Linked DNA regions of Lepisosteus oculatus. The protein of the gene in region 1 interacts with the protein of each later gene in a biochemical or structural test. Links are inferred from orthologs where the notes say so. Each region holds a gene or a part of one and is shown in the gene's direction. Other genes may lie near its edges.

Region 1 (6,899 bases):
AAGACGTCATTGCCAGCAACTACTGCTGCACGCTGTAATGTTGTGCATTGGATAAATAAACTTTGATTTGATTTGATTTGATTCTGGCTCATTTTATTTTATTTTTTAAATTATTTTAGCAAGGAGCCTCTTCCACACACTTCGGTTAGTGCCCGTAACAATAAAGAGTGGAGGAGCGAGTTTTCTCCGCTTCTGAAAGCCTGCGCATTCATACAGCTGAACTCGGACAAAGCTCCAGCACCCCGAATGACGGAACGGCCCGCAATGGGTCTTATATTTCGCAAAAAGAAAACATCTTAACACACAAAAGGTGTCATGTTAACGCCAAAGGCAGCTTCTATAATATGGTGCATTGTTTTCTTGATTGCGATTCTTGGAAGAAAAGCGACACAGCCAAGGAAACACAAGTGGCTTTGATTGAGCGTTGCTTCGTTTTTTCATCAGGTTACATTTTGACATAATCTCCTCGTCCTCGAGTGTGGAAGGATATGTTATAAATAGCAGTTTTTATTTTCGTTATTCACCACTATCATTTTAACAACTGTTTATAACGCTTTATCGACATTAAATAGCCCACTTAAGTGCGATGAGATGTATTGTTCTGCGGTTGTACCGGCAGAAAGTCCCTCTAATGTGACAAAGATGTGCCTCGTTTTCCATTGCCACACTCGTGCATGGTTTTCCACAATTCTTGGATAAAAATCGCGCCCTGACGAGTCACCAGCTAATGGCCCGTCTGCTGTAACAAGAGGTCTCACAGTGGGTTTTTTGTTGTTGTTGTTGTTGTTGTTGTTGTTGTTGAACTTTTCGTGAATTGTTGAACGGACAAATCATTGTCCCGATTCATGTAACAGCATTCCTGCAGTTACTTTCATTCTTTGTAATTTAAGTAGATAATGTATTTGGAAAGCAATGAGATGTCTGTGACAGTCATGTGGCCAGCGCTAGAGTTACTTTTCGAGGCCCTATGAGCTACTTTCAGACGGAATGCAGACGGAATGCAGCGAGGCAAGTCACGATCGGCTTTCGCTGATTTTTCAAATTAAAATCCCTTCCAGTCACCATGTACGGCGCCTTCGAAAGAACATTGCGGGTCAAACACCAAATATACATGGTAAGCTCTTTTAACTATATTAGTAGAGAGATTTAGATGCCTGGGTGGTTTATGTGTGTGACAGGCAAAATGAACTTGTAATTAAACTGCATGACGGTCTCTGAATAAACATTTCGACCAAAAGGAAAATATGTTTGAAAATATTTCATGTGTTATTTGGAAAACGCTATAGGCCTACTCAAATGCATGCACTCCATCGTGTTTTGGAAATGCGCTTCATAAAGATGTCATTTACAGCAGGATTACGTTTTGCTACTAATTAGAGGCAGCACACTACATTAGCCCTACATGATGAACACAATTAGTTTTTTTTTTTCCGTAAGGAAAGCATTTTCCGGAGATGCAGAGATCTTTGACAGATTTAATCAATAATACCTCGATGTGGAATGAAAAATATAGCTACCAATACAGTGTTTTGTTTCTTTGTTCTGTTTGTATAAAATGAGACACTTTAATGTTATTTCCCGTGACATTTCACTTTTAAGCAGAGAATTGTGTTCTGGAAAATTGATTCCGAAGACAGAGGCTGTGTGCTGTGAATAATTATCGTGGTAGAGGAAGCGAGCATCAGGGTTTATTAACTTAAATGTTGACAAAAAGTTGTTTACACAAATATATAACACTTTATTCTGCACTTATTTGAGTGCAGAAATAAAACTGTTGTTATTGTTTTTGCTTCATGCAAAACGCTATCCTTTTGGGCACAATTTGTCTTGTTTTCACATATGTTTTGACAGTACGCAAAAGGATGGAAATACCAGCATTTTACAATGTGGTGGATATATTTTTGGCTATAGCGAAGTACTCATTGGAGAACTATTATACGAAGAAAATATTTTTGCAGTATTCTGCAGTTTGCATGATAAAACCTGGGTGTAGCTGTGTCATGTGCCAACTGTGATTTTCAACATTCCTATTGTAATCTGCGATGGGAGACAATGTCGACAGAAACACCGGGGCATGTATTTTACATACGATATGATACAACTCATCAGTGCGAAAGCAGCACTTTTTTTTCTTCGGTTAGAGCATGTCATTTTATGACACTGTCCTACACTGACTTAAGTGTTGCGGATGCGGTGCTCTTGACGAGCATTTTTACGTTTTTTTACACGTTTTTCGACTTCACATTTACACGCAATGGTAAAGCGAGAAGGCGCTGCCTGCATCTACCAAAAAGATCTTTGATTGGTTTTGAAAGTGTTGAATTCAGAAGACGAGGTTGCGAGTGAAGTAGGCCAGAACGCAAGTTGACAATGTTTTAGGTGAACATTGATGAATAAGCTGAATCTGTCTCTTCGGATAATTTGTTGGGGAGAAAACCAAGTCAGGAATACGGTTTATTTTTCTGAAGAAGGACGCAGACCAACTTTGTCTTATATAAAAAAAACTTTACTAACATAGATTGACAGATACCGATTTTTTTAAACAATTCCCGATAACTTCTGCTTTTCGTCCTACATCATATCTCTTCTGCCTCTTCAGATTTAGAGTAATGAAAAAACTTGCTTTCCTTGAGGTAGTGCGTTGCATTTAAATTGAGTCACGCTTGGAGAAGTGGGACAGCTACGTTTAGGACAATCATTCAGCGCTGTTCACTGCTCTGCGCTAAAGGTCAACGACTGTTACTATCACTGCAGTTCACTAGCCTACACGAATTTCATTAATGTTTTTTCAACCTGAAATCCTTGTTCTGGCGCCTCCTGTTGGACTCACTGCTGCAAACACGGAAGAACGATCTTCGATCTAAAGAGGAATACCGAATATATATATATTTAAATTATCATATCACATTATATTCGTTATTACAACACACGTAACGCAATCGGGTTGTTTTTTTTTCCAACAAATTCAAAATTACCCATCTAGATTAAACCCTTTGAATACCTGGCAAAATCGTATAGTATAAAATGTATTCAGTCCCGCGCCTTTTACACGCGACGTCGATTTATTTGGTAAAATCTCAGGGTTTTGCATTTTGTGAGTACAGGATTGAGGGAGAACAAAAATGTGAATGGCTGGGGAGGGGAAAAAAGTAAAACACTTGTCAGAAGTGGGATTCGAACCCACGCCTCCATTCGGAGACCAGAACACCCATCGCTCACGGAAGGCATCGAAACCTTGAGTCTGGCGCCTTAGACCACTCGGCCATCCTGACAGCTGGGAGAGAGCGGCTCCGAAAAGGCTCTTGGTTTGTGGCGCAGTTCCAGCTGTTTCCAGCATGAAAGCAGAAACCTCTGCCGCTGGTTTGTCCATTTTTTTTTCGTGTGTGAGCGAGCTCCGCGGCTCGGTCTGGGCGGAGAAGCCGTGTGCAGACGCCCGGCTACGGAAAGGGGTTTCTGAACGTTGCGTGACTGAGTGCCGTATATACTGTATATACTGGCTTATGTATATGATTACCTGTTGCAAAAAAAAAGGCAGTCTAAGCAGTTCGGGTTAGAAGGTTAGGATTTCATCGATTGGCTAGCCTGTGTCTTCTTTAGAAATTGTTTGCAAATCATGTACATTGGGCGTATTTCGAAAGGAATCAGCTCAGAACAGGTGTGAGAGGAGATCAGTGTTTCTTACAGTATGTGGGTTTGCGGTTTTAATAAGCTCAGTAAACACAGGCAAAGTTGTTAGTATGGTACTGAGAGAATCAATCAGTGCGCAAGACTGTCAATTTCACCAAATTAACCTTTGATTCGTCATTTAGGGTTTATAGGCATGAGATGTCCTGTATGGCTTCCTCACAAGCTTTGTAAGCTTTGGTTCTTGTGGAGGGGAAATGGTTTGGATCGGATATGTGTGTATTCAACGGGAAGAAAAGACCAAACCAGAGCTCGAAACTTGCAGTTCGTGTAGATTTGGTCGTGTCGCTTGTAAAGGGGAATTCTGCAGAAAGGGCAAAGACACTGACAACACGTTTTTATTTTTCCCACGTAGGTTTTGTTTTATTTTTTGTTTTGTTTTTTTTTTTTGGGGGGGGGGGTTACAATTGGGTCATTTTTTTATTTAAGAGTAGTTTAAAACAGCACGGGAAGGCATAGTTCAGCCTTGCAATGGAAATACAATGACAAGGACAAGGATGAGTACAGTGTAAAACAGAATGGCCCAAAATGTTTTTTTTGGGGGGATTGAACAGAGCGATATACAGTATGTTAGGATCTGAATGTATACGTAGCGCTTCGTCCCAAGAAACATGAGCAGCTTTTTTAAAGTCAGGTTTTCTAGTAAGGCTGTTTTTTTGTTGCTGTTGCTATGAATACAGCAAAACTCGAGCTAGTTCTCGTGTTTGTAGCAACAAGGCTGCAGACTAAGACGGGTTTTCCTGCGGCACTCAGTCACGCAACGTTCAGAAACCCCTTTCCGCAGCCGGGCGTCCGCACACGGCTTCTCCGCCCAGACTGAGCCGCGGAGCTCGCCCGCCGTGAGAGCCCGGCTGGTAGGAACGACACGGATTTGACAGAGGTTACGAGTGCAAAACAGGAAGAAAAAAAAAAAACCCGTGCCACGATGAGCAGTACCGTCGACCTCCACCGATTGGGAGTGATCGGGAGCTGAGAGCGCCGTGCGCTCGGCAGAGCCGTGAAGTGCGGTCTGCAACAGTTCAAAAGGCAGCGCTGAGCCAGATAAGCGAGCACACACGCTCACGCCCGCCCGGAGCCCAGGTGACAGCCTATAGGCGCTGTACTGCGGGCGATTAAAACCACCGCAGGGGCCGTAACATTCAATTTACAGCTTTTTTTCTTCAAAGAACAACCCCACAACAACAACAACAAGATGAAAGAGTCTTCACCCAGCGTGATTCGCTTATCCACATACGTTCAGAAGCCCAGCCCCGCGGGGTTCAGGAACCCGGCTCCGGGACGGGCTGCCGAGGAGGCGACCCCAGGCGCCTGTCCCTCCGGCCGGCCGCGCTGCGCCGCTGCAGCGGGCAGCCCGGGCTCTGAGCCGGGCGAGCGAAGGGACCTCCGTCCGCAACTGGAGGCGAGTTGTTCAGGAAAAGAAAGTGTCAAAGACCAGGTCAGTGCAACAATCATGGTAACACGGGGGGAAAATATTCAACGCAGCGCCCAAGTTCTGTACAGCAGAATTGAGCTTATATTTTTAAAGGTTTTGTTTCATTGCTGGTAAACTCAGTAGATTTGTCAGAATGATGAGGTTTATCATTACTATATATTTACTCCTGTATATACTGGATTATGTATATGATTACCTGTTGCAAAAAAAAAGGCAGTCTAAGCAGTTCGGGTTAGAAGGTTAGGATTTCATCGATTGGCTAGCCTGTGTCTTCTTTAGAAATTGTTTGCAAATCATGTACATTGGGCGTATTTAGAAAGGAATCAGCTCAGAACAGGTGTGAGAGGAGATCTGTGTTTCTTACAGTATGTGGGTTTGCGGTTTTTAATAAGCTCAGTAAACATAGGCAAAGTTGTTAGTATGGTACTGAGAGAAAGTGTGAGACAATCAGTGCACAAGACTGTCAATTTCACCAAATTAACCTTTGATTCGTCATTTAGGGTTTATAGGCAAGAGTGAAGTGTCCTGTATGGCTTCCTCACAAGCTTTGTAAGCTTTGGTTCTTGTGGAGGGGAAATGGTTTGGATCGGATATAGCTGATTGAACCGCATCATGTGCCTTCGTGCAGAGGAGTTTCAAGAGGCCTGAAAGATGCCCCATGTACAGTATTTTTTTGTTTGAAACACTGGGATCAAAACTGTGAATTGGTTTTGTTTTCTGTTTGTTAAATAAATCCAGAATAAGACAGTAAATATAAAATATATAAATAATACATTTTTTCTCCCTATCTAAAGCCTCACAAAATAAGCGGGCAAACGGAGGACTTTACATACAGTAGGCTGCAAGATTGATATGATCCCTTCTGAAATTATTGCAGTTTAATTTTATATAATAAATTACCTCTTGATTATAACAACAAAATGCCTCCGTTTGCATGACCACTTCCAAATGAGTTTTAGCTCTGAAGGTGATTTCTCAAAAGTCCTCCTGAGTGCAGAACTTATCTTTTATTCACAGTGTGCAAAGAGTTTACCAGGCACACACAAACATTGACTTTTTGTCCGACTGCTTCTTTTGAAACTTAGTGTCCTAAAATGTGTGGCAATTTTTAGAGGGGTACCTTTGAACTTTATTTTCTCAGAACCAAGAAAACGTACAGCAGGGTTACCAAAGTGTTTACAAAGAGAGATGCATGTTTTGGTAAGAGGCCGATTGCAAATGACGGCTTCATTCATGAGTCAGGAGTCAGGGCAAACAGATGAGTTTGACTTTAAGTAGCATCACAGTGCTGGGAGACGATCAGGCTCCTTTCCTGTACCTTAGAAGAGCCTCTAACAGTTTAACAACAGTTTGATCAACCCCGTTCCACACTGTGCTTTTGTTCATTCAATACCATTCTCTCCATCTAGGTTTGCAGCTGGAGAAGTCAAGCTTTTTGTCCTGTTCCAACACCTTAACGGGGACTCAAATGGGCTAAGAAAGGTTACAAATGAGGACGTTTGGTTCATTTGGGCCATGAGGACGTTAGTAGCTTATTGATAGAAGAATCTCCCCCTGCCATTTCTTGAACGAAGCCAGATATTGGCTTTAATAGCAAGGCGGGTAGCTTGTTCCATACTCCAACAGCCCCTGGGGTAAAAAGAAATTGCTGCATGTTCTCAGTTTTAAACGTTTTTCCGTGTAGTTTCCACTGATGTACTCTGGTTCACGCTTCACTGTTCATTCTGAAGGTGGACACCGACTTGACTTTGTCAACACCTTTGTGATTTTGGAATATTTTTTT
Region 2 (7,052 bases), on another chromosome or scaffold:
ACATTTGTAAACGGAAGAACCAAATACTGGCAAGCCCAGTGCAGTTTCTCGGAGCATATTGTACCATGAGTCATGGTAGCACAATTCAAGTCACAAAAGAGAGATTCATAACACCAAAGAGATCCAGGTGGTGTGTGCATAATCACAGAGTTAAGATGGAAACTAAGATAACATGAAAGTACTATTTAAAATATAAAACAGAAATTGAACACTTTGATTAAATATTTATTCTGTGCACAAATAACCTTATGTATTAAGGTACATACATGCCCCATTATCTTATGCAGTTTGACAACTGTTTTGTTAATTAAAATAGTTTCACAAATTGGAGGGAGGTATACAGCCTGATCAACAACATTTCATTAGTTATCACTGCAGTGAAAAGGGAGAAATCCTGAGGACAGTCTACTGAAACAGTTCAATTTCTTTTCCATATTATAATTACAATACTGAGGAGTAGCATTATAGGTGTTTGAACTATCTGTAATTCTGATCTTGGGAATTGGTCCCGGGTCAGTTTAAGGAAAAAAAAGTGAATGAATTTATCATTTGCAAACTACAAAGCCATAACCTGATGAACACCAAGTGTTCTTGGATTGTAATTTATGGATGTACTTTAATCCACGCATTAGTCTAATTTTATAGGCATCATAATGGCTAACGCTAAAGATTCCTAAATATTTTAAAACGATCATTATTTAAAGGGAGTTTAAACGTGTCAGGAGGACGTATGTGACATATTATGCTATAATTGCAGCAAAGTGTACCAGGAATTGTGCAATAATAAGATCTTCAGTCAGGTTGCATTCTAGCCTTCAGCCTTTTTCTTACAAAACAACAATCTGAAATACACATTCTCTGACATTCTACTTGTCCCTTATCCCTAACTCTTAACTCCTAATTCATTTCTAGTCAGTTTTTTGTGTGGCATCTTAAATGATTCCCAAGAGAATACAGAGAAACTTATTGAATGGGTTTGTTTCTGTTGCTCCACAGCCAAAAACTTGTCTCTCTCTTCTTTTCCTTTCAACATGGAATGAGCCACCCACCCAAAACTGTTTTTTGATTTTCAGTACAGTTCAGGAAACAAAATTGTGACCTTTTCTATCTCTAGGGACTTTCCCTTACGGTCTCATGGTCTTACCGCATATACATTCTCTAAGGTGAAATAAGTGTTGCTTTTTAAACCAAAATGCATCAGAAGGAAAACAAGACCACTTTTAGGTTGAAGACCAACAATATTTCAGCCTTACCAGCTCTGACTCATAGGTCATAAAACTTGAATAAAGTGGATTACCATTGATGCTGTTAGCGCCGTCTGTAGTCATGTGTAGTCCTGAGGTTACCACTTTACAATCTGAGCTTCACTGTTACCTGAGGGAATCCACTCCAAACGCCCTGCATTCAAACAGAAGAGCTTCTATAATAGGAAGAAAGCAACATATGATTGCTCTAATAAGGTCAGCAGCTCAGGACATCAGATACAAGCACAGACTCAGAGTAATGCAATTTTATTAACAGCATCGGGTGTTGTTTCAGAAAAGAAAGACAAGCTGCCATTCCACCTTTTGCCTGTTTTTAATAGGCTCCCAATTTTAATTTAACATAGTAAACACGTTGTCACTGATTCACTTCACGACAACAGTGAAATACCATATGTTAGGAAAGTTGACCTCGTCTTCAATAACTTCAGAATAACATTGTCAGAGTAGTAATATTTAAACTGCTATTTTACTAGAAAGAGCTAGGTTTTCTAGTGAAGAAAAATAAAACTAGTTCAGATGTAAGGTTATTTTTCAGGGCTAAGTGTTTTTTAAATCCAAAATGCCAAGGCTTACGGGAGACAAGTAAAGAGACTCGTGAGCAAATTGGTTCTAAAAACTCTATTTTAAATAAGTAATAGTGGTTTATAGGACTTGTCAACACTGCAGTCTGAACTTCTAATGCCTGAGGCAGAACTTACTATGACAGAATGGTCAATTCTGAAGTGGGAAGCCATGTGAAATAATTAAATCAAGCAAATAGAAGCTAATGTTTATTCCTCGTCACAGAAAATCTATAAAAACTGTTGTCAGTTTCAATGAAAAGTGTAAATAGATTGTTATGACACCACTAGTCATTTTATTTTTAAGTGAATGGTACCTTAGCCCATCCAAAGACTAAATAATCAACATTATCATTGTTGTGATTCACAGGTGTGAATCATTAGCTGAAAAGCTCACAATCCAAGCACCTGAGAACATCTCTTCCACGAGTCAGTCAGCAGCAGCAAAAAACAGATTTCGCAGTCGTGAGAAGCAGTCATTGTATTTAAACTAAAATGAAAAACATTCTGACTTATTCGCTCCTCCTTAAAATGATAATAATTGAGTAGTTTTCGCTTTCATTTGTATTTCCCTTGGGGGTATATAGTTGCAGTGTAAAATACACTTGCGCCTAAAAATGTATGGGATCATGTGCATCTGTTGAGCTAATCCCGTATTTAACACGTTTTGGACTGGCTTCCAGGACTTTGCACATGGAATGCCCTGCACTTAATTTCCTTCATCATTTCATTTTACAAAGCGACTCAAGTTTACGTTTTTCACAACCAGAATAAAAAACAAATGATTTAAGTTACAGCACAAGGATAAAACCATCATAATACTAGACACAGTGTTACTAGGTGAATACAATGGAAAGGTTCCACTATCTCAATAAAATCCAACAGCTGGCCTTTAAACGTACATCATAATATACGAGCGTATCAAGAAAAGACGTTTCCAATTGCAAGAACTTTTAAGTACTAGAACAGGTACCTTTGATACATTCTCCTGAAGCCCTGTCAGATATGGTAAAGAATCGTCACACATACCTTTAGCCCGGTGGCTAAACTATTTGACGTGGTGAGCAACAAATGCGGAGTAAGCAACATCCGAGCATCTAGACTGCTTTATCGGTCATCTTGCATGTTAGATCCTTATCCTAGCGTGTGTTAGCACGATTTGCATCCTAGCACTTTGCATACTAATTGCTTTCCCTAACACTGCTCAATCCAATCAGCATGCAGAAACGATCGGTGCAAGGCACAGCCATAGAGTGCCTAGTGTTACCTGTGATCAACGCCGCGGAGATGTTTTCACACCATCTTTACCGGGGTCGTGTTTTCTCGTCGCGTTACCGCGGCTCAGCGGCACCAAAATCTCGCGTTCAGCTTCCCGAGTCTCCGAGCCGCCGGATCACGTGACTTCCCCGCCTCGTGAAGGTCAGCTGACCCGACTCCTTCTCCATGGATACCAGGAAGTTTACCTCACCGAGTGAAAGAATGGAGGTCCACATGTTAAGAAAAAAATCACTTTATGGGCATATCAACCTTAAAAACAGTTGCTGCAATGCGTGGACGGGTTTTAGACAGGTTTTTTTTTCTAGTCTTCGTCATTAGTGTAGCGGATGTAATGCATCCCCCAACTTTCATTTTCCAGTGAAAATAATTTTCTATTTTTTAACATACAGATTAGATGTGTACATTTTATTTTAAAATCTTCTATTTGCGTGTGTTGTTTAACAGAATTTGCGTTTTTTGAAGCGTTTATAAATAATATTGTATAATAAAAAATATTTTTATTATTATTATTATTATTATTATTATTTGTATTATGTTTTTTGGCTGTCGTTTAAATAGTTAAATAAATGCATCTGAATTTACTGTGGATGAACATTAAACTACTATTATTAAATCGACACATATGCTTATTTATTATTTCAAAATGTCGCTTCTAATGGGTTAACTACTTTTCTGCAAATTAATGATTTAGGGGAGAACTCAGCGCCACCCACAGCCATGCTTGAGGTACCACAAGTCTTCCTGGCGCCTCGATAATAGTAGAAGGGAATGTCATCATTTCACTCATCTTTTTCCCCTAACAATATTCATGTCTGAATCGTGAAAAGCAACAAACAGAAAATATTTATGTTGTAGATAATGTCTATTTTTTATGCATCATGATACATTTACTCCAGATCAGGCAGATTTATCTGTATTCTAATTCAAGTTCTGGTTCACGAAATGCAGATGAACCTTGATGACCGTCCCTAAAACGAGCATTGCTGACTCCTGTTTCTGGAAAGGGGGCTGATCGCTGGGAAGACTATTAAAGCATTTTACTTGTGATGAAAGTACACAGTCGCAGACGGGAAAGTTGAAGAGGGTCGAACGGTGTAACTGATATTTGGAAAGGAAATATGCAGGCAAGTAGCTACACGACGAGAAGTTTTATGTTGACGGTGTCTATATTGCATGGCGTTAGTTATTGCTTATTTGTGAATCCAGGCCTTTGACTGGATCATTGCAGTGTTGGAATATGAAATGACCCGGTGTAATGAAATAATGGATTGGATTCCTTCCCGACAGAAGCACGAGTTTTTCGTGGATATGACCTGCGAAGGGTGTTCAGGCGCTGTGACTCGCGTTCTCAATAAACTGCAAGGCAAGTCCTACCCATGAGTTTTCACTTTTATTCCCTGGGTGCGTGGTGTTATTAACAACAGGGAGTGCCTGATGCCGAAAGACCGCAGTTGCAGTGTGACAGTGGCACCAAACCGAAAGCCAGATAGCGTGATAAAAGTATCTGATTTCCTCGGAAAATTAAATCTATTGCCTGACCTGTAATTGTTTTACATAGTAAAAAAGTATCCGATTTCCTGCTAACTAACGGGTTTCTTGAGAAGAGACTTGGAGCAATCACATGACTGAATTTTCCACATGATTACACATACGATAGAAGTGTATGTGTAGTCATATTTTGTGTATTTTTTACTCTGGTTATACATACACTATATACATTGATATTAAAAAGGCTTTTAGTAAGAAAAATAAAGTACATTTAGCGTGTCCATCTTCATAAGCTAATTCACCATAATGTAATGTTTAGTTTTTGCCATAATGTTTTAAAAGGCCCTCACACCGCTTCTACTTCTATTCATTGCTCTTTCCTCTCAGTGCATGCTGAGTGTGTTATATCTTCTAGTTTTTGTGTCGTTATGACCTTTTTATTACATTCTTGCAGGTTGTCTTTTGTAACCGTTGATAGTTATTTAATAACGCAATGCAATGTTACGACAATTTTGTCCAGTTTGTTATGCACTTTTAAAAATTCAAAAACATAACATTGCCCTTTCCCCTCCATCAGTAGAATATACAGTACCTATATAATTTATTTACGATATATTTGCATACCAGATTTTTCTAGTAATTTTTCGTTGCAATATTAATTCATTGCCTGTCCCAAGGATCTCATTCAGTTCCTTTTATTCTTTTTCATAGGTGTGAAATTTGACATTGACCTTCCCAATAAGAAGGTTTTTATTGAGTCTGAGCAGAGTGTAGAAGTTCTTATTGAAACTCTGAAGAAGACGGGGAAAACTGTAACGTATATTGGTCCAAAATGAATCACTCTTCCAATATAAGCAGGTGAAAAGGGGTTATTTTGAACATCTTATTGAGAATTCTGGTTTTGATTAGCTTTACTTGTAACATTGCATAGTTACCATGTGTTGATAACGGCTACCTGTTCATTATTGATCTAGGTCATTAAACTTTGATCATTCCACAGCACTATGGGAGTACAGTTTTGACTATACTATAACTGGCACAAGTTAAGTTTGCTAGATAAGGACAGACCTTTAATACCAGTATCAGGTAGTCCATGGCCATCAAATACACAAACTGCAATTTTCTTACAGTGTTAGAAAACAAATGACCTCTTTTGCTAGGCCATATCAAGTGGAGAAGACGTCTTTAAAGACCTTTACACTGTGGAGGTATCTTTCAATCTTTTAAGATAATGCAGGATCATAGATAGATCGATACTTTATTGATCCCGTGAGGGAAATTGCAGTGAAATCATGATATACAGGGGGGTTAATTAGCCGCTATACATATTTTTAATCTAGTCCTATCACCATGCTAGGCCCATACGTTTTATCAGCAAAAGAAAATAACACAAATGAAGTTGTCATTTAAAATTTTCGGGATGTTAGTCTGAGAGTCTCTTTAGGTGTCTTAACTGTTTGGACAAATGGAGTTTGAATTTCCATTTTCAAAAAAAGCTGTTGGTACAAGAATTCTCCACTTCTTCAAACACAAAAGGGTAAAGTTGCAGATGGAGGAATGTTTGCAGCAACTGTGGGGGAACGTTTTTGGACGTAAAGGAATATTTTTTTCAGTCAGTTTCACCTCTTCACAATTTGTTTTTAGATGTCTACAAAAGGAAACAAGGACTTGTATTTCATATCATAAATACTGAATCTGTTTTGCTTTTTGCTCCTCAACAGGTGTCTTATGCATGCCCTGGTGCTATGAAGGAAAAGAAGGTCAGCCTTTGTGTTTGCAGTTTGCAGAATAAACTCGCCGTGTGAAGTGAACTTTCCATCAGTGTCATGGGCTGTGGGGGACCATTGAAGCTTTCGAAAGCTTTGTTTCTCTTCATCAGCATTTGTGCCACTGACTTCTATATTGTTAAAAGGCTATTTTGCAATTAAAATATTGTTAAACACGTCTTGTTTTATTTAAAAAAAAAAGGATATGCCATATTTATTCTCTTAAATAACCCAAGCCGTCTTTTCAAATAGACTGCACCATTTTCTTCTCTTTCTGCCGTTAGGTATACGTATACGTGATTATATTATATTTAGATTTTCTTATTTTTAGTCTTGAAACTATGTTGCCACCCAGATTTAACTACTGAAGTAATGAAACCTACAGCTTTCATACCAGCTGTATTTAAACAAATTAGCATGATTTCAGGTGAGTGGGAGACCTTACTGTTCTCAGAAAGGTAGTGTTAATTATACTTGAATTTGATATTTTTAAATAGCTAATTCACAAACAATGCATAATTGTATAAAATGCCTACATGACATTCTCCATAGAGCCTACATAAAAAGCTAGGAACTGTCATAAATGTTTTATGAAGTAGTATGTCATTTGTAGTACAAAACCGCATGTCTAAACCAATAAACTTAAACCTAAACCAATAAAATGTAAAACTGTTTTGTATGATACTGTTCATGAT

Evidence for each region.
Region 2: the proteins of atp7b (region 1) and atox1 form a complex in vitro, tested with the Homo sapiens proteins (3 studies listed by BioGRID and IntAct). The link is inferred for Lepisosteus oculatus from reciprocal best matches to the Homo sapiens genes ATP7B and ATOX1.

Annotation. Positions count from the first base shown.
Region 1 is NC_090710.1:30,595,283-30,602,181, reverse strand, and holds the start of atp7b (copper-transporting ATPase 2), read left to right. Parts: upstream 1-3,893; 5' UTR 3,894-4,876; coding exon 4,877-5,119; intron 5,120-6,899. UniProt on the Homo sapiens protein: Copper ion transmembrane transporter involved in the export of copper out of the cells. It is involved in copper homeostasis in the liver, where it ensures the efflux of copper from hepatocytes into the bile in response to copper overload.
Region 2 is NC_090706.1:36,045,456-36,052,507, reverse strand, and holds atox1 (copper transport protein ATOX1), read left to right. Parts: upstream 1-4,085; 5' UTR 4,086-4,221; coding exon 4,222-4,227; intron 4,228-4,390; coding exon 4,391-4,466; intron 4,467-5,302; coding exon 5,303-5,427; 3' UTR 5,428-5,449; intron 5,450-6,312; 3' UTR 6,313-6,533; downstream 6,534-7,052. Other genes in the region: slc36a1 (proton-coupled amino acid transporter 1), read right to left, coding at 1,298-1,328. UniProt on the Homo sapiens protein: Binds and deliver cytosolic copper to the copper ATPase proteins. May be important in cellular antioxidant defense.